3 linked regions of the Arabidopsis thaliana genome follow. The protein of the gene in region 3 interacts with the protein of the main gene of each other region in a pairwise test. Each region holds a gene or a part of one and is shown on either strand. Other genes may lie near its edges.

Region 1 (5,703 bases), on a different chromosome or scaffold from region 3:
CTGGTTTCGGTTTCTCATTCTTTTTCCTCTATTGCATCAATTGTGTATGTTTCGTCAGTGGTGCCGGGTTGATTCAAATTGGTAAAGCCACATTTGGTGAAGTCTTCAAGGTAAGATGAGAAACATTTCTCGGTTTAATTAAGATCTGGTTCGGTTTAGTGATCTTGAGAGTGTATTTTTTACAGGTTTTCTTTGCATTGACGATTATGGCGATTGGAGTTTCTCAAACGAGTGCTATGGCACCTGATTCAAACAAAGCTAAAGACTCTGCAGCTTCGATTTTCGATATTCTCGATAGTACACCGAAGATTGATTCTAGCTCTGATGAAGGTACAACGTTACAAAACGTTAATGGTGATATCGAATTCCGACATGTTAGTTTCCGATACCCAATGCGACCGGACGTTCAGATTTTCAGAGATTTGTGCTTGACTATCCCTTCTGGAAAGGTAAAAAACAGAGCTTTTTAATTACCGGTTAAATCTGGTTCACCGGTTAATATTGGTTATTGGTTGTTTTTTCAGACCGTTGCACTTGTTGGAGAGAGCGGGAGCGGGAAATCAACGGTGATAAGCATGATTGAGAGGTTTTATAATCCAGATTCAGGCAAGATTTTGATCGATCAGGTGGAGATTCAGACATTTAAATTGAGTTGGTTAAGGCAACAGATGGGTTTGGTTAGTCAAGAACCGATTTTGTTCAACGAGACGATCAGATCAAACATAGCTTATGGTAAAACCGGTGGAGCCACAGAGGAAGAGATTATAGCAGCAGCAAAAGCCGCAAACGCACATAACTTCATCAGCTCATTGCCTCAGGGTTACGATACGTCGGTTGGAGAACGCGGTGTTCAGCTATCGGGCGGTCAGAAACAGAGGATTGCGATTGCGCGCGCGATTTTGAAAGATCCTAAGATTTTGTTGCTTGATGAAGCGACGAGTGCATTGGACGCAGAATCTGAGCGTGTTGTTCAGGATGCACTTGATCGAGTTATGGTTAATCGAACCACTGTAGTTGTGGCTCATCGGCTTACGACGATTAAGAACGCAGACGTGATCGCGGTTGTGAAAAACGGAGTTATTGCTGAGAAAGGAAGGCATGAGACACTGATGAAGATTTCAGGTGGTGCTTATGCTTCTCTTGTCACTCTGCACATGAGTGCAAATTAAGAGACTTTTTGTTTTTGGTTGGAATGAAAGAGAGAATTTTTGGAATTGATTCGTTAATTTTGTCCATTGGAACTCATAAATTTGAGACAAACAGATCCTTTTACTTCGAGCTTTAAAAGCCTCGTACCACACTAATTGAATTCTTTGGGTTTGCTTTCTAACAAAGTGCGTTCCAAATGTTAGAAACGTTTCATTTGTTCCTTTTCTTGTTATCTTCATTAAGAACACTCTTCAATAAGAAGAATCAATAAAACATTTTTTGGAGGTAAACTCTATTTTGGATCAACAAATATGAACAAGAGTAGTAGTTTGTTGGGGACAGGACATAACTGAAACAAAGTTTTCAGACACAAATGTAAGAAAAAATGAAATCTTTGAAGAAGAGACTCAGTAAACTTCAGCAGCAAAGTTGGTAGTGGGAAGTCTCTGTCGCTTCTCAATGTAAGCCATAGGAAACCAACCAGCTTTGCCTTTGCATTCTCCTTCAGCCCAACCGGTTTGGCTCACCTGAGAATACGAAAGAAAAACAGCACACAGAGAGTTAAGTTTCATGCTCTCTCACTACAGAAGTTAGTTCTTTGATACTAGTAAGAAGATGTGAACCTTTCGGACAACGATGTAATCTCCTTTGTCCAAGTCTAACTCTTTCTCTGAAGCAGCGGAAAATGGATGAATCACCTGCGAGAGAACATATATGTTGCTTATGGAGAGTCTTTTTCTTTCTGTGAGATATGCGATGATAATATTACGGAAGATAAAACTTACTTCAGCAAGAAAGTATGACGTTTTCTCTGAGCCGTTCTCTGTTGGAATCGCAGGAGGAGCAGATTCTTTGTGTTGTTTCTCGGTTACCATCTACGCGGTAAGACCAAAAGTGTGAGCCTTTGATGAGAAAAAGATGTGGGAAAGATTCATCCAATACTAACCTCGGCTTCAATGTCACTGAGGATGGCTGCTATTCTTAAGTGATAATTCTTCTCCCCTTCAACCTAGAATAAGCGATAAGGTAAATAGTAATCTGCATATGACAAAAAAATCCAGTGTGTGTGTATGTAAAACATACCATAGCCACAAGCCTCTGGAAAGTGAGTCTATGTTGCTGTGATTCAACAGCGGCTAATGCAGCAGTTGCTTCTTTACCAAGGACTGCCATATTTGCTTTTAGCTCTTGCATTTTTGCTTCCGCTAGTTGAAGCTTTGCTACGTTTTCTGGAATCGGAGCTTCTCTTACACGTGCTTGCCGTCTAGAGACTTCCGTTGCCTGTTTTGCTTTTAAGTTTTAACTTACATTACAAAATAAAATAGCCAACATCATCATAGAACTAAGATCTTAAGATGATTACATGTGTCTCTGCTTCTTGTCTCATGCGGCTGTAACGTTGAGCAAGATGACGAGCATCTTCAAGAGGAGAACCGGCAACCATAGCTCTTAGAGGATCCAAAACCTTAACGGCATTTAACAAAAAGGTTTTCTCTTGTTATCTACTAGATTTAATTCTACGTAAACATACTAAGATTAAACACAGATAATCCAAGCCGAACCTGAGAAGCCAAAAGCTTGTTGAAGTCTTCTTGTTCTTTGTCTACATGTTTCCGTGCATCACCGTATATAGCTGCAGCCTTGGCCAGTATATTCTCATCAATGTTCTGACTATTTTCGTTCCCATACCTACAACAGTCTTCAGACAACTTGGTTCCTGAAATTTTAAAGAATATTAAAAGAAAACTCACAAAAGTATCATAGTATAACTTAATTCAATGATAGGTAACACAAAACAGACACTCATAAGTAGTTAAGTACCTGCTTCAATGTGTCTGAGCCCGATCGTGGTAAATGCCTCAGCTGCTTTAACAATATCTCTCTGGAACTCCTGAAAGTGACAATAACATATGTTTGAGGGTATTGTGCTACGATGAATCATACTGAAACCTTCTCCCCCAACAATGAACTCATATAAAATGTGACAATGCCATTAGGTCAATATCAGTCAAACCTTTGCAGAACGAGTAGAGCGGTAAAGTTTATCGAGTTGATGATGCCTTTGCATTTCAAGCTCATCAATCACCATTACATCTGAGCTTTCATAACCAGTCCCACTGAATTGCTTTATCACAGCCTACATTCCCCATTACCACACATCAATCAACACATCATCACAACCAAGATTGTGTAACTCTATAATACTCAATAATATACAAATCAAAACCCATCAAAAAGTTTCCATTTTTTTTAATCCAAATTAGCAACAAAGAACCTAAATTGAGCTTCGTTTCGCTGAATCGGTAACAGTGAAACTAGTTGCGGCGATGAAAAGGAATTACCAGTTGCTGCTTTGCGACTTGGTCTCTAAGCTTACTCGCTTGTCTTCTAAACGCATCCATTGTCACTTCTCCTCTTGATTTCCCCAAATTGATTCAGAGATACCAAAAAGAGACAAGCTTTAAAGGATTTTGAGTGGAATTGAGAAATCTCAATTAGATCAGAACAGTTTAAAAACTGACAAAGCAGATCAGATCTGATTCAGTAGAAATGTATGTTCTTCTTCGACTCGATGTGTCACTGATTATCCCTCTGAGAAAATCAGTCAATCACAGAGCACACACATCGATCTAAGCGGGTCGGGTCGATTCGATTGATTGAACCAAACCGGTCCGGTCCGGTCTGATTAAAAGGAGCGTTCGCGATTGAATTATTTGGAAGCAGACGAGGCTTTTCTACTAAAAACCTTACGTTACGACTTACGATTATTATTGAGTAATTAATTAAAATTAGCTAAATCCGTTTGGCATAAACTGAGATTAAGTTAATTAAAACTTAAAAGTATAGGTATTAACAAAAAAACTGACATGGACAACTCATAACCACTTGTTATTTGTCCCCACTCCTCCCATATCATTTTGTCCTAACTGCCATTACATAATTATAATCTGAAAAGACAACCTATATACTTTTTCTTTTATTTTATTATTAACGTTGCCTTTCTCAGTATAGTATAGATTCCTACTCTACCGACTTAAAATTTCAGTGAGATATTTCATTAAATTCCATGTTCTTAAAACAGGGTTCTATTGTTGATGTAAACTTAAATCAAATTATAGTCAACCAAAAGACAAATGTATATTGGTATCTAAAGTACTGAATGACAACATTTTTTTGTTTTAATTTATCTATAACACAATCAAGTTGTAAAGATGATTTTGTTTGAACAAACTTTACAAAAATAATCTCTATCCATTATACTATTTCGTTAATAGCTAAATTAGTAAACCAAACGCGGAAAATAAACGAAACAAACGCGGAAACAAAATTACAAGAAGATCAATTAGTGATTTTACAGTTAAAAAAAAGCAATAAAACTCAGAAACCCTTTCACATGTATGTATAAGAAGAATCTAAAACTTTCCCACTTCCACCAATTTGAGTTTTGAAACATTTACGGCTCGACAGAAAAGAAGACGCCATTATATTTTAACAGAGAGAAATCAAAGAGACAAAAGCCACGATCCGCCATAGCTGTTTTTGAGATCGATCCCCACCAAAGGAGCCTAGCCTAAATCATGCCTTCAGGTGCTAAGAAAAGGAAAGCTGCCAAGAAAAAGCAAGAGGAAGAACAACAACAACAAGGATCTTCTACTCTAATCAACCTCAAATCCAACAACCATGGTTTTTAATTCTTTTAACACCCCATAATCTCACTACTACTTTCTTCTTTTTGCCTTTTTCTTCTTGTTGTTGTCTCTCTGTATCTCTCAATTATTCACTCACACCACACACGTTTAGGCCACCTTTCTTGTTTGTTTATATATTTGCTTCGCTTTAAATCTGAGTTTTTTTTTAACTTTGTTCTCTGTATAGTTTCTTCAAGTTTTGATTTTTATGGTTTTGTGCTCATTGATCTAAACAAATGGGTATCTTTTTTACTCTTCTTTGTGTTTTGATTGGGGTTTTAGGCTCACAATTTTGGGATCTCAAGCTGTAAAAATTTGATCTTTCGGTTAATTTTAGCATGTTCTGCTTCGTAATCCATATGGGTTGAATCTAGTTTTCTGTTTTGGACTAAAGGATAGTTTTGTTTATCAGATTCATGATTATGATTGAAGTTGTTTATCATTTGCTGAGTTTTGTTTATCTCTGATGCTTTGGTTTCATTAGTAGTAGCTGTGCCTATTTTGTTTACTAGTATATGTTTCATTCTCTGGATGGTACAATAGTTAGATTTGACTTGAATAGTCAGTGTTAAGTCACTCTGTTTGTGATATTGATTGGATTTGTAAACTGATGTGCTAGATTCGAGAAGCCAAGGTGACAAGGAGAGCGATGATGGTGTTAATGAACGCATAGAGATCACTGATTCAAGCCATGATCATGACAAGAGCTCTAGTAGCAGCAGTAGTAGTAGCAGCAGCAGCAGCAGCTCCAGCTCGGATGATGAGTCACGGGAAGTCAAGAAGATAGATGATGATAAGAAGACTGGTGATGATGTTTCTGAAGTTATTACTGTGAGTTCTGTGCCAATTCAACCTGTGCCTATTG
Region 2 (3,923 bases), on a different chromosome or scaffold from region 3:
GACATGGTTTATATAGAACAAGTTATTACTAATTACATATACCGAGAGATAAAATAGCATGTGAGCGACTTAAGAAAATTAGAGTAAGAAACAAAACTATCCAGCTAGTTGGCTTTTGCAACTTGAGGTCTTGAAATTGATTAGACTATTTTTTAGGAATTGTTAATTTATTTTTCTATCACAGAAAGGGAAAAGACAAGATTTTTGTCTTGTTTGTTTGTGAAAGAAGAGGCTCCACAAACTTTGAGACAGAGTGTCTCTCTGGGTGGTATGCATCAGTTTGATCATAGTTGTGTAGATCCATTATACGTTGTTGATAAGATATTGTTTTACATTGCATTAGTCCCCATTCCTTTAGATTTTTTTATGAATGATAGATCTTTCAGCATCAACCGATTATATTTCCAAATGCAACTGGACAAGATAATCCCAAAAACAAAATTCAAAGAGTCTACATCTCATCATTACTCGTTTCCAATATTTGGTTTGGTCTAGTTTATCCAAATTTGTAAGATACCTTCTAGAGTGGTCCGTTTAGTATCCAAGAAAGAATTCATGTAGTAGCATCATCAAATGATACCAGTCTAATGAATGAAATCTTTGAGGGAGAAAGAAAGCCACACAAACTTATAATACCAAAGGAAGATAATATTATAAGATTAGTCTATGTACATTTTAACAAGTGAAAAGAAGATAGTAATCACAATTATTTGAGAAATGATAAATATTGAGAACAAACTATACACACAAATTGAAAGTTGGGAAGAAGCATTAAAACGTGGCGGATTCTCAGAGGTCAGAGATTAGATTGAAGAAGCACCGAATGTGTTCTCGCCACTGTAAGTGATGTAAAGGAAGCCATCTTCGTCTTTCTTATCCTCGTAAACGCTTGACATTAGCTCTCCTGTTGGAGGAAGAACATTGTCTACGAAAATGAAGATAGCTTTCTCTGCACTTAGTTTGATTCTCTTCCGAATCACATACACAAATTGACCAACTGTTAGGTCTGATGGCACAAGGTACCTGCATTTATCAAAATCCAGAACAATTCCAAAATTACATACAAGTCTTGAAAACATTGAACAAATAACAAGTTTAACATGATCAACAAAAGGTACTTACTTCTTCTTGTCTATATTTGGGACTTCACTTTTCTCAGCCTTTTCCACAATCACCTGCAACCAAACTACAATGTAAGATAATCTGAATCTTGTAGAAAAAACAAACAGTATTGGATTCTCAAACAACGAAGCTAATGTTCTGTAACCTAAACTAAATTTCACCACGAAGATTCATGATATTGTTTGTGAAACCGAATTCAGCATACATTGATAAATACGCAAACACAGGTACAAAAACATAAGAAAACCTTACAAGAACAGAACAGAACTGATCAAATTAACAAAAACAACACAAAGACAGATGCATCCCAAACTAAACTATTAAATTACATACACAGACTCATGCTACATCATAAATTGAAAGACACGCAAAACAGAGATCTATTACCATAAGAAAACCTTACAAGACCAGAACAAAATCAGATAAAAATCAAAACAAAACTTACAGGAATTCGATCAGGGTATTTCTCCCTGATCCTTCCAGCTTCAGCTTTTCTCTTTTCTGCACATAAACAATCTCTAGAAATCAGATATACATATACAGATATGAACGCTGATACACATGTATGCCTCTATACTGATTCTAGGTCACAAAATCGAAACAGTAAAGAATAAAAGACTAACCGAAATCGTTGTCCATCTTAAAGATGCTTCCTTTATTCATCTTTGCTTCTGAGAATATACACAATCAAAGAAATTGAGACACAAAACCCTAATTTTGTTTTCAACACCCAAATCGAAATTCCGCGTCTTTTCGGGGAAAAAAATGAATTCTAAATCTAGAGAAATCAAAACAGAGTATGTAACAGAGAAATCAACAGAAAACTTACAGAGAGAGAATTTGATGGAACGGATAAGGATAAAACTCTGGAAGAAGAAGAAGAAGATGATCTACGGATACAAAGTCAAAAAAAGGAACCTTTTTCTTTTCGTCTATGATTGGATAACGTTAACTCTATATACACTTGTTTATATATGTCTGTTAGCTGACGTGTTGAGTTATTAGACACGTCAGCTTAGCTTGTTCTCCAAACAAACAAAGTCATTCCATTATTGTTCAAACAAATTTTTCTTTCTTTTTGTTTTAAGAATTTTTGTTAGGTCAATGTCAATTCTTTTAATTAATTAATACTACTATTACGTAATAAAATACCAAATTTTGTTTAATTTATTGTTAGTTTTTCCTCATACTTTTCCTTTTAGTGTAGAACACGTCTTTGATTTGCCTTTCCCTCACTTTTTCTTACATTGAATTTTTTTCCTTTCGATGTGTTTTTTTCCTCCAGTTTATATTGTTAACGAAACATGTAATGCGAAATTCCCATTCGTAGTTCTCACGTGGCGGTGTATTGTTATATATATATATATATATAACAGTGTCGGTGTTTAACTTTATTCATTCATTATTTGGATAAAATTGAATAATTAGAAATAGAAAGACTAAAAAATGAATAATAAGGGTTGCTGAACTTTAATGGGCTAGAACCGACAAAAAAAGAAGAACTTTAATGGGCCAGAATAAGTAGTAAGTGGGTCTGTGAATCGTAAGTTTATGATAGATACGAGGTTTGATGAGACATGAGATAAAGGCCCAATACATATGTATGACATATTCCAAATATTTGTATTGCGTATCGATGTAATTGATACAAAATCGTTGTGTTTGTGCTTTCTGGTGACTCGCTCCTCTGTACGATAACACAAAGATATTCGAAAAACATAATTTTCGTTGTCTTACAAAACAGAATTGGTCATATGGAGTTATTCAATTCACCAAACTCTATGAAAATTTGTCAGTTCAATCATTTTGGCTCTACCAACAAATTTTTTGTTAAGAGGTCCCTCATCAAAGCTAATAGCTTTCTGTTTGACCATGTCTTCCCTGGTACAATCATGTTTAAACCTATCAATTTTCAAAAACGTGTAGAGTAATTTGTATGAATATATCATATATGCCTCACAATATTTCATAATCTCCGAAAATCTTTAGTAATAGAGATGTTAAGGAACATAACAAAATAAAGAAAGGTAGTATATAATTGGAGCACTTCATCATTACCAAATGATTAATGGAGAATGTATGTAATAGTGCATCGTATAGTTTTATATTTCAACTATCCCTAGATTTTAGCAATAATAGTTAAGATTTAATAATGTACTAATCGATGATTATCTTGTGGTGTAGTTGTGTTGGTCGTTGTCTTAACAAAAGAGACCATATATTATAACCATGTAGTAGCATTATTGTATTTCTGTATTTGTTACTTTCTGCCATAAGCATATAAATCCAAACATAACATCGATACAACTAGGCTAGGTATGCCATGCCATGTTCATCTTAATTGAGATTTCATAATTTCATTACGAAATTTCTACATCTAGAGCTCCATTACCGATATACTTTTCCTATATATGTTTTTAAGTGATCGATAATAGTAACTCTGCGCAAATGCCACTAATAAGGTCCGAACCCTGTGTATGAGACGTAATAAGAAGTTTATTTTTTCTTTTTTGTGCAAACGTTTAATAAGTTAAGACTTCATATAAATAAAATAATATTGGCGGAAAAAATATAAATTATATAAAAAACAAAACAAAATTCATATTGCATACTATATAATATACAATTGAATATCTCTACACAAGTGGCACGTTAGTGGTGTCCCTTCTTTAGCTAGTCATCACCTCTAAGATTGAATAAGCAAGTTGGTAATTTGTATTCTAAAAATAACAAAAAGGGGCGAAAACTAATTTAATGCGATACACATTTTGTTTTAGGACAGAGACACAATAGTGGTGGAA
Region 3 (5,832 bases):
CGGGGAAGGCCCTGGATTTGGAACTCGCTGTAAGCGGTTTGCTGAAGCATGCATCGTCAAGAGGAAGAAACAAAAGAGTGAGAGAAACAAAACACATCGAGATATTTTCGAACTAGACAAAGAACCAGAAACTCTATCTTGCAACATATTTGCTATATGATCTTATCTGTCTGATAAGTAAAAGAGAATTTTTGCTGTGAAGCTACAAAATATAAAGAGTGGGAGACTAAAGTGTTTTTCACTCAGAAAGAAAGAAAAAAAGTGGACATAAGCATGTGGTTTAGATGGTTATAAGAAGAAGATGCTTGTCTCTTACGACTCCTTCTCATTCACACACTTTGAACTTTTCTTAAATTCAGTTATCCATTACTAATCGCACTCTCATTTTCGTATTACCCTCTAAAACTATAAGACCACAGTTTCTACACTATTCTCTCAAAAGAAAAAAAATACGAGATGATTTTCCAAAAACAACTCGAATAAACACAGCCTCGACCCTCGAGAAAGAACAAGTGTGGACAAGAATATTAAAGCGTTTTATGATACTTAACCTAATTGAATCAATTGAATATGAAAGGAAAGCTTAAAAATTTGGTACACCATTGTAGCACAGTATTTTACACCATTGTAGCATTCATTGATTCGAATCAGAGGATTTGCAATTACCATGGAAGAAGACCAGGTCAACTTGAAACCGCTCTGTTTCGGTTCCAGGCGCAGTATAACATAACGTTTCAAGTGTTTGGACCTAATGGTAGTAAAATACATAATGAACAACGAACCGATTGGACTACATGTGAGTGGTCAGAGAAATTGAAGCAGGAGTAATGACATTGGAGGACTGATACAGTAAATTAACCAATCAGACATCAGTAGGACAACAGACTACATGAAAAGTATAAGATGTTCATCACTCAAAAGACTTTCATATACACACAAAGGGGAAACACCATCCACATGAGACAGGACAAGAACTTATTTTGATGTGATCAAACCCAATTCAATAACCAAATGAACCAAATCTCATACTTATAATTGATATATATGTCAAGCAAAAAAGCGGGTAGGAAGATCAATGTGCGCTAACGAGGAAAGGGTTTTGGCAAACTCCGCACTCAATGGTCTCTGATCCTGAGACTGGAACCTGGACCTGCAATTTAAATGGCAATGCTCTCATAAACGCATACTATCAAGAGACACTACAAACAAGCCAACTTCAAATTCCAATCTGCCTCGAGTTATCTATCAACTTGCTTTAACTATTTATTCAGATGATTAAGCGACAATCTCCATGATCCAATCTTAATAGAAAATCACATCGACCATATGTAACTGTTTAATACTAGAGGTCTCACGTAAGACATAAACATTTCTCTAGCTATTCTATTTCGTCAATGTAGTTTGCAAGATGATCATACACACTGACACAAGTGATTATGAGGACCTCCCTGTTTTCCTTATTCTAGAAAAAATTGGGTCCCAAAATCATACAACGAAAGACATGCTATCAAAGGATCTAACCTGTAAGTGCACAGTGCATGTTGGACAAGCTACTTCTTTCATCCGCCTCCCAGATCCTTCCCTCAAACCTGTTAGAATCATAGCTATCATTGTCAGCAACCATAAAATACCAGAAACAATATATCATAAACATAAGTATATTAGATATGAAAAATTACCAGACGAAGACTTGCGGTTTCTCTCCATTTCCTCCTGTATCAAACATATCCGCCATCAGAAAACAATTATATACTTTGCCCAAGATATTAACTCAACTTGTAAATCATTAAACTTAATAAAGAACCAAGGACGATTAGCTCACCTGTAACTTTCTAGCAAGGTCTTCATGGCTCTGCAGGCTCACATTCCTGCCAGTGGTTTCCTTGGCATTACTCAACCTTTGTGACACTTCTGCCTGCACATCCAGAAACAGATTGAACTTAGAGGCATACGCATAAAAGACAAGATACCAGTTCAAATTAACTTAAAGCTACATTCTCAGGAATCAACGGAACATGATTTCTCAACTTAAGGAAAAATAAACAGACAGATAAGCATACCATGCACCGGTCACAAACACGGACTTGAGGAGCATTATCCTCAGCAGTGAGAGCAATCCTGCCTTGAGTACACTTGTCACAGAAGACGTCACCACAATTCCTGCAGTGGTGCTAGAAAATAAAAAATCCATAAGGTTTGATAGTCCCAACATGGCCAAAAATTTAATTCAGATTGTTAGATCGGGGAAAATAATACCCTTCGTATAAATGCACCGAAATCTGAACCACATGATGTGCACTTAGAAACAGCTTCATCAGGTACCTAAAGCCAAAAATAACATGGAATGAGAACAACATACCACAGCTAAGCAAGAAAATAAGAATCAAGTGATGTAACTAATCACCAAAACTACCCTAGCCCTTTTACTTTGACTACAAGAGAAATGTGTTTTTCTTCCAAAAAAAAAAAAACCTACCCAATGATCTTTCTCCTCATTAACAGGCTTTATAATGTTCATCCAATCACCCAATCCTTTTTTCTTCTCAGCAGTTTGTTCAATCAGTTTTCCAGAGGTGGGAGGCCTGCTACTTCCCCCGATCTCCTTGGCCTAAAACCCACCAACATAAGAACATTGGATTAGTCAAAAGAAATCATGATGGAATTGACATATAGACTTTTAATGAAACAAAATTTGTAAATTTTATGAACCTGAAACATTGCAGCCGTCACAGTGTCCAGAAGGGTGTTGGTGGTGTAACTATTTGATTGCAATCTGATACGTTTAGCTTCAATGTCTACCGGAGTCTTAGACCAGAAAGCCAGAATAGACGAATCTAGTTTCTGATAGAAAGACATTTACAACAATAGATAAGACCTCCAGTCACAAAAATGGAACAAATTCAGTCATAAGAAGAAGGTAGATAATCTCTTACTTCGCATCTTGTGATGTTCTCAAGAGGATATATTCTCAAAGTTCGGCTAGTACTTGGATCAAGCATACGAAGACCATCCAAACCAATCTGCTAGCACAAAACCAATTCACTAAAACTAGTTTAGGTAACACAAAGTTCAAATTGAATTGGGGACATTACCTGACAAAGAACATCTGTTGTGGTTTGTCCATAAGTCTCAGCCAACAATTTGACACGAAATTTCTGCACACCACCAGTGGAATCTTCCTGCACATCAGCCTTAGGAACAGCTCTCACGATCTTAGCAGAATTCGAGCTAACAGAAGAATCTCTCCCTGAAGAAGAAAAGCTAATGGATCGTCCATAATCATCGAACAATGTTGAATTCGATGATTTCGGCGCAGTTCCACGAGAACCGTATGGCTCAACTTTGCCTCCTTGATAAGCATAAACGCCATCGCCATAGGAATCTTCAAAAGCAGGATATTCTCCGCTATCAGATCGTTTTCCGTATAGATCAGATCCTAAATCCGATCTGCTCCGGTTATAACCGTCATAACCAGATTGATCAAATTTCACTGACGGTTTCTCATACGAAGGAGGTATGGATGATCCTCCGCTACTATAAGGAGGTGCAGAGTACAAGGATGATGAATAAGGCGCGGGATTAGGATTCGGCGCAGGCGCAGATGAAGGAGGAGGCGCAGATGAATAGCCAGAGGTTTGATGCTGATCATACGGTGAGTAATACATATGTTGCGAGGTAGGTTGCTGATACGGAGCAGTAGAATCAAATGATCCATAAGAGGATAGAGGTTGTGGATGAATCGTGGGTGGAGGTGGTGGTTGGTTGAAGGTTGAATAAGAATTAGGGTTTAGTGATGTCGCCGGCGGAGAAGGAGGAGGTTGTGATGGTGAAGTGAAGGAAGGAGCTGAAGGAGGGACATGCTCAGAGTTTTGCCCGTAAGGAGTGTAATTCTGTGAATAGTTAGAGTAATCGGCGGAACCGTAACCGCCGGTGAACGGTGGCGCTGATGCGTACGTGTTTCGAGTAAGATCGGTCGGACCAGCTACGGTTGCCGGCGCCGGCGGAGAAGGATTGGGATTAGGATTAGGATTCGGAGTAGGATTTTGAAATTGAGAGTATTGGTGGTGATAGTACGAATTGTAATCTCCCTGTTGCATCGCTGAATCGGTGATCGTCGGCGATGATTTGATCAGATTATATCGGAAATTGGAAACGATGACGAAGATGAAGATGAAAGATAGATCGAGAGAGTCAAGGGAATATTTGGTGAGGGAAGGATTGTCTGTGCCGCGAACTTTTTTGTATATTTAATAATAATACACGTGGCGGTATAATGAACCGTTGATTAGAAGTAAGAGATGGTTTTTTAACGCGTGATGCCCACAGATAATTGTAGCTGTTTTTCTATGCAAGCGTAAGGAACCAAGTCGGACAAGAGACCCATTAATCACAAAGTCAATTAAAATTAATTATTCTCCTCGTATTAACATTGGGTTTTGGGCTTTTGTAGTTTTTGTTAAGCCCAATAATAAAGTTTGGAGTAAGAAAGACGCAAAGGATAAAAAGGGTATTTCAGATGACGTAGCAAACTCGGACCGAGCTTCACGGAGATGATAACGACTAATTGACGGAATAGCCCTTACAAATTAGGGTTTTCACATTATTCTTTCCAAAAACGTAAGTATAGCCCGAGTCGGCGGATCTGAGTGTTTCACGCGTCTTTAAATAGAACCTTACCCTTCACCATTATTTTCTCAACCGCAATTGGTTTTTTTCTTCTTTCTCTCTCTCTCATCGATTAACAAAATCGAATCGAAAAAAAAAATTAGGGTTCTTCTCTCTTCCGTCTCTCGTTATCGATTTCGTTTTGATTTCGCGCCACAAAGAAGAAGTTTCATTAGGCGCGAATCTGAAACCTAGGTTCGATTTAGTTCTGTCCGAATTACTGTCCGTTGTCTTGTCCGTTAGTCGATTCGATCTGAGAAAGAAAGAAAGAGAAGAAGAAAAAACGATGTCACGATATTTCACATCCCCACCGCCTGTGTATGCGAGGAACTGGGCGAACGGTCAAAACTTGGTCGAATGGACTAAGGTTCGTCGAGCACTCAATTCTTGTGATTGATTCGCTACGGTGTCCTCTTGTCTGAACATGGGTTTCTGTGTTCGGTCAGAGTTAAATTTCCTTATAATATCCTCTTTGTAGCCAGATCTCTAGGTTGCATATAAGTTATTGATTGGTTAAATTGTAGGAAAATATCTTCAGCATAGATCTATGAATTGAATCTACACTATACATGTTTTAGCATAATGAATTTCGTTCTTAACGATGTCGTGTAGACATGTATGTTAGTTTGGTTTGGTCTCCAATTATAAAGTCAACCATAAAGACGCGTTGTAGATATATGTTTTGAGTAATTAACATTATGTGTGTTTGTGGTTGAATGATGTTACCCACGTATATGGGTATCTGGTTGTTTGCCTGATAAATCCTTCCTCTAGTCTAAATCCTTTATTCTGATTGGATTATAAAGATCGAAAGACCAATAGTTGATTCTAAAAAGCTGCATCGGAAAGAGAAGAAGGAGAAAAAGAAAGAAAAGAAATTAAAGAAAGAGAAGAAATCCCTTGAACAGAAGTATTCCACAACCAAGACAGTCTCATATGAATCCGAACAGCTTGAGAAATCTTGTTTAACAGAAGAATTTGAGCAACCTCAGGTTGGATATTTGTCTGATGGTAGCCAGAACAGTAAGAAGAGAAGAAGGGAAACTTCTCCTGCTGTTGTTGAGAGTCAAATCAAAGGTTTGTGCTTTGTTTCTTCCCGGATTAGATGAATATCTTTATTGTGTTTGAATACATATACTGAAACAGAGACGTTTAATCATTTGCAGC

What was found. Proteins that work in one complex are often made in the same cells at the same time.
Region 1: the proteins of AT1G20110 (region 3) and AT4G18060 interact in a two-hybrid assay, tested with the Arabidopsis thaliana proteins (one study listed by BioGRID).
Region 2: the proteins of AT1G20110 (region 3) and ATG8E interact in a two-hybrid assay, tested with the Arabidopsis thaliana proteins (one study listed by BioGRID).

Annotation. Positions count from the first base shown.
Region 1 is NC_003075.7:10,026,112-10,031,814, forward strand, and holds AT4G18060 (SH3 domain-containing protein), read right to left. Parts: upstream 3,923-5,703; 5' UTR 3,552-3,922; coding exon 3,492-3,551; intron 3,287-3,491; coding exon 3,164-3,286; intron 3,041-3,163; coding exon 2,971-3,040; intron 2,867-2,970; coding exon 2,712-2,866; intron 2,615-2,711; coding exon 2,513-2,614; intron 2,431-2,512; coding exon 2,233-2,430; intron 2,159-2,232; coding exon 2,096-2,158; intron 2,025-2,095; coding exon 1,935-2,024; intron 1,848-1,934; coding exon 1,773-1,847; intron 1,677-1,772; coding exon 1,557-1,676; 3' UTR 1,170-1,556; downstream 1-1,169. Other genes in the region: ABCB9 (P-glycoprotein 9), read left to right, coding at 1-110, 186-449, 525-1,169; AT4G18070 (suppressor), read left to right, coding at 4,728-4,833, 5,458-5,703. UniProt on the Arabidopsis thaliana protein: May be involved in the recruitment of DRP2A to the accessory protein complex and in the negative regulation of its GTPase activity.
Region 2 is NC_003071.7:18,622,407-18,626,329, reverse strand, and holds ATG8E (AUTOPHAGY 8E), read right to left. Parts: upstream 2,067-3,923; 5' UTR 1,952-2,066; exon of another isoform or gene 1,794-1,951; 5' UTR 1,786-1,793; coding exon 1,746-1,785; intron 1,624-1,745; coding exon 1,568-1,623; intron 1,176-1,567; coding exon 1,123-1,175; intron 1,024-1,122; coding exon 804-1,023; 3' UTR 539-803; downstream 1-538. UniProt on the Arabidopsis thaliana protein: Ubiquitin-like modifier involved in autophagosomes formation. May mediate the delivery of the autophagosomes to the vacuole via the microtubule cytoskeleton.
Region 3 is NC_003070.9:6,969,819-6,975,650, reverse strand, and holds AT1G20110 (RING/FYVE/PHD zinc finger superfamily protein), read right to left. Parts: upstream 4,228-5,832; 5' UTR 4,098-4,227; coding exon 3,093-4,097; intron 3,021-3,092; coding exon 2,934-3,020; intron 2,842-2,933; coding exon 2,710-2,841; intron 2,609-2,709; coding exon 2,477-2,608; intron 2,323-2,476; coding exon 2,257-2,322; intron 2,172-2,256; coding exon 2,061-2,171; intron 1,916-2,060; coding exon 1,823-1,915; intron 1,714-1,822; coding exon 1,680-1,713; intron 1,590-1,679; coding exon 1,522-1,589; intron 1,151-1,521; coding exon 1,073-1,150; 3' UTR 521-1,072; downstream 1-520. Other genes in the region: AT1G20120 (GDSL-like Lipase/Acylhydrolase superfamily protein), read right to left, coding at 1-147; AT1G20100 (DNA ligase-like protein), read left to right, coding at 4,952-5,032, 5,472-5,742, 5,832-5,832. UniProt on the Arabidopsis thaliana protein: Endosomal sorting complex required for transport (ESCRT) component regulating multivesicular body (MVB) protein sorting and plant growth. Required for the formation of intra-luminal vesicles (ILVs)in MVBs.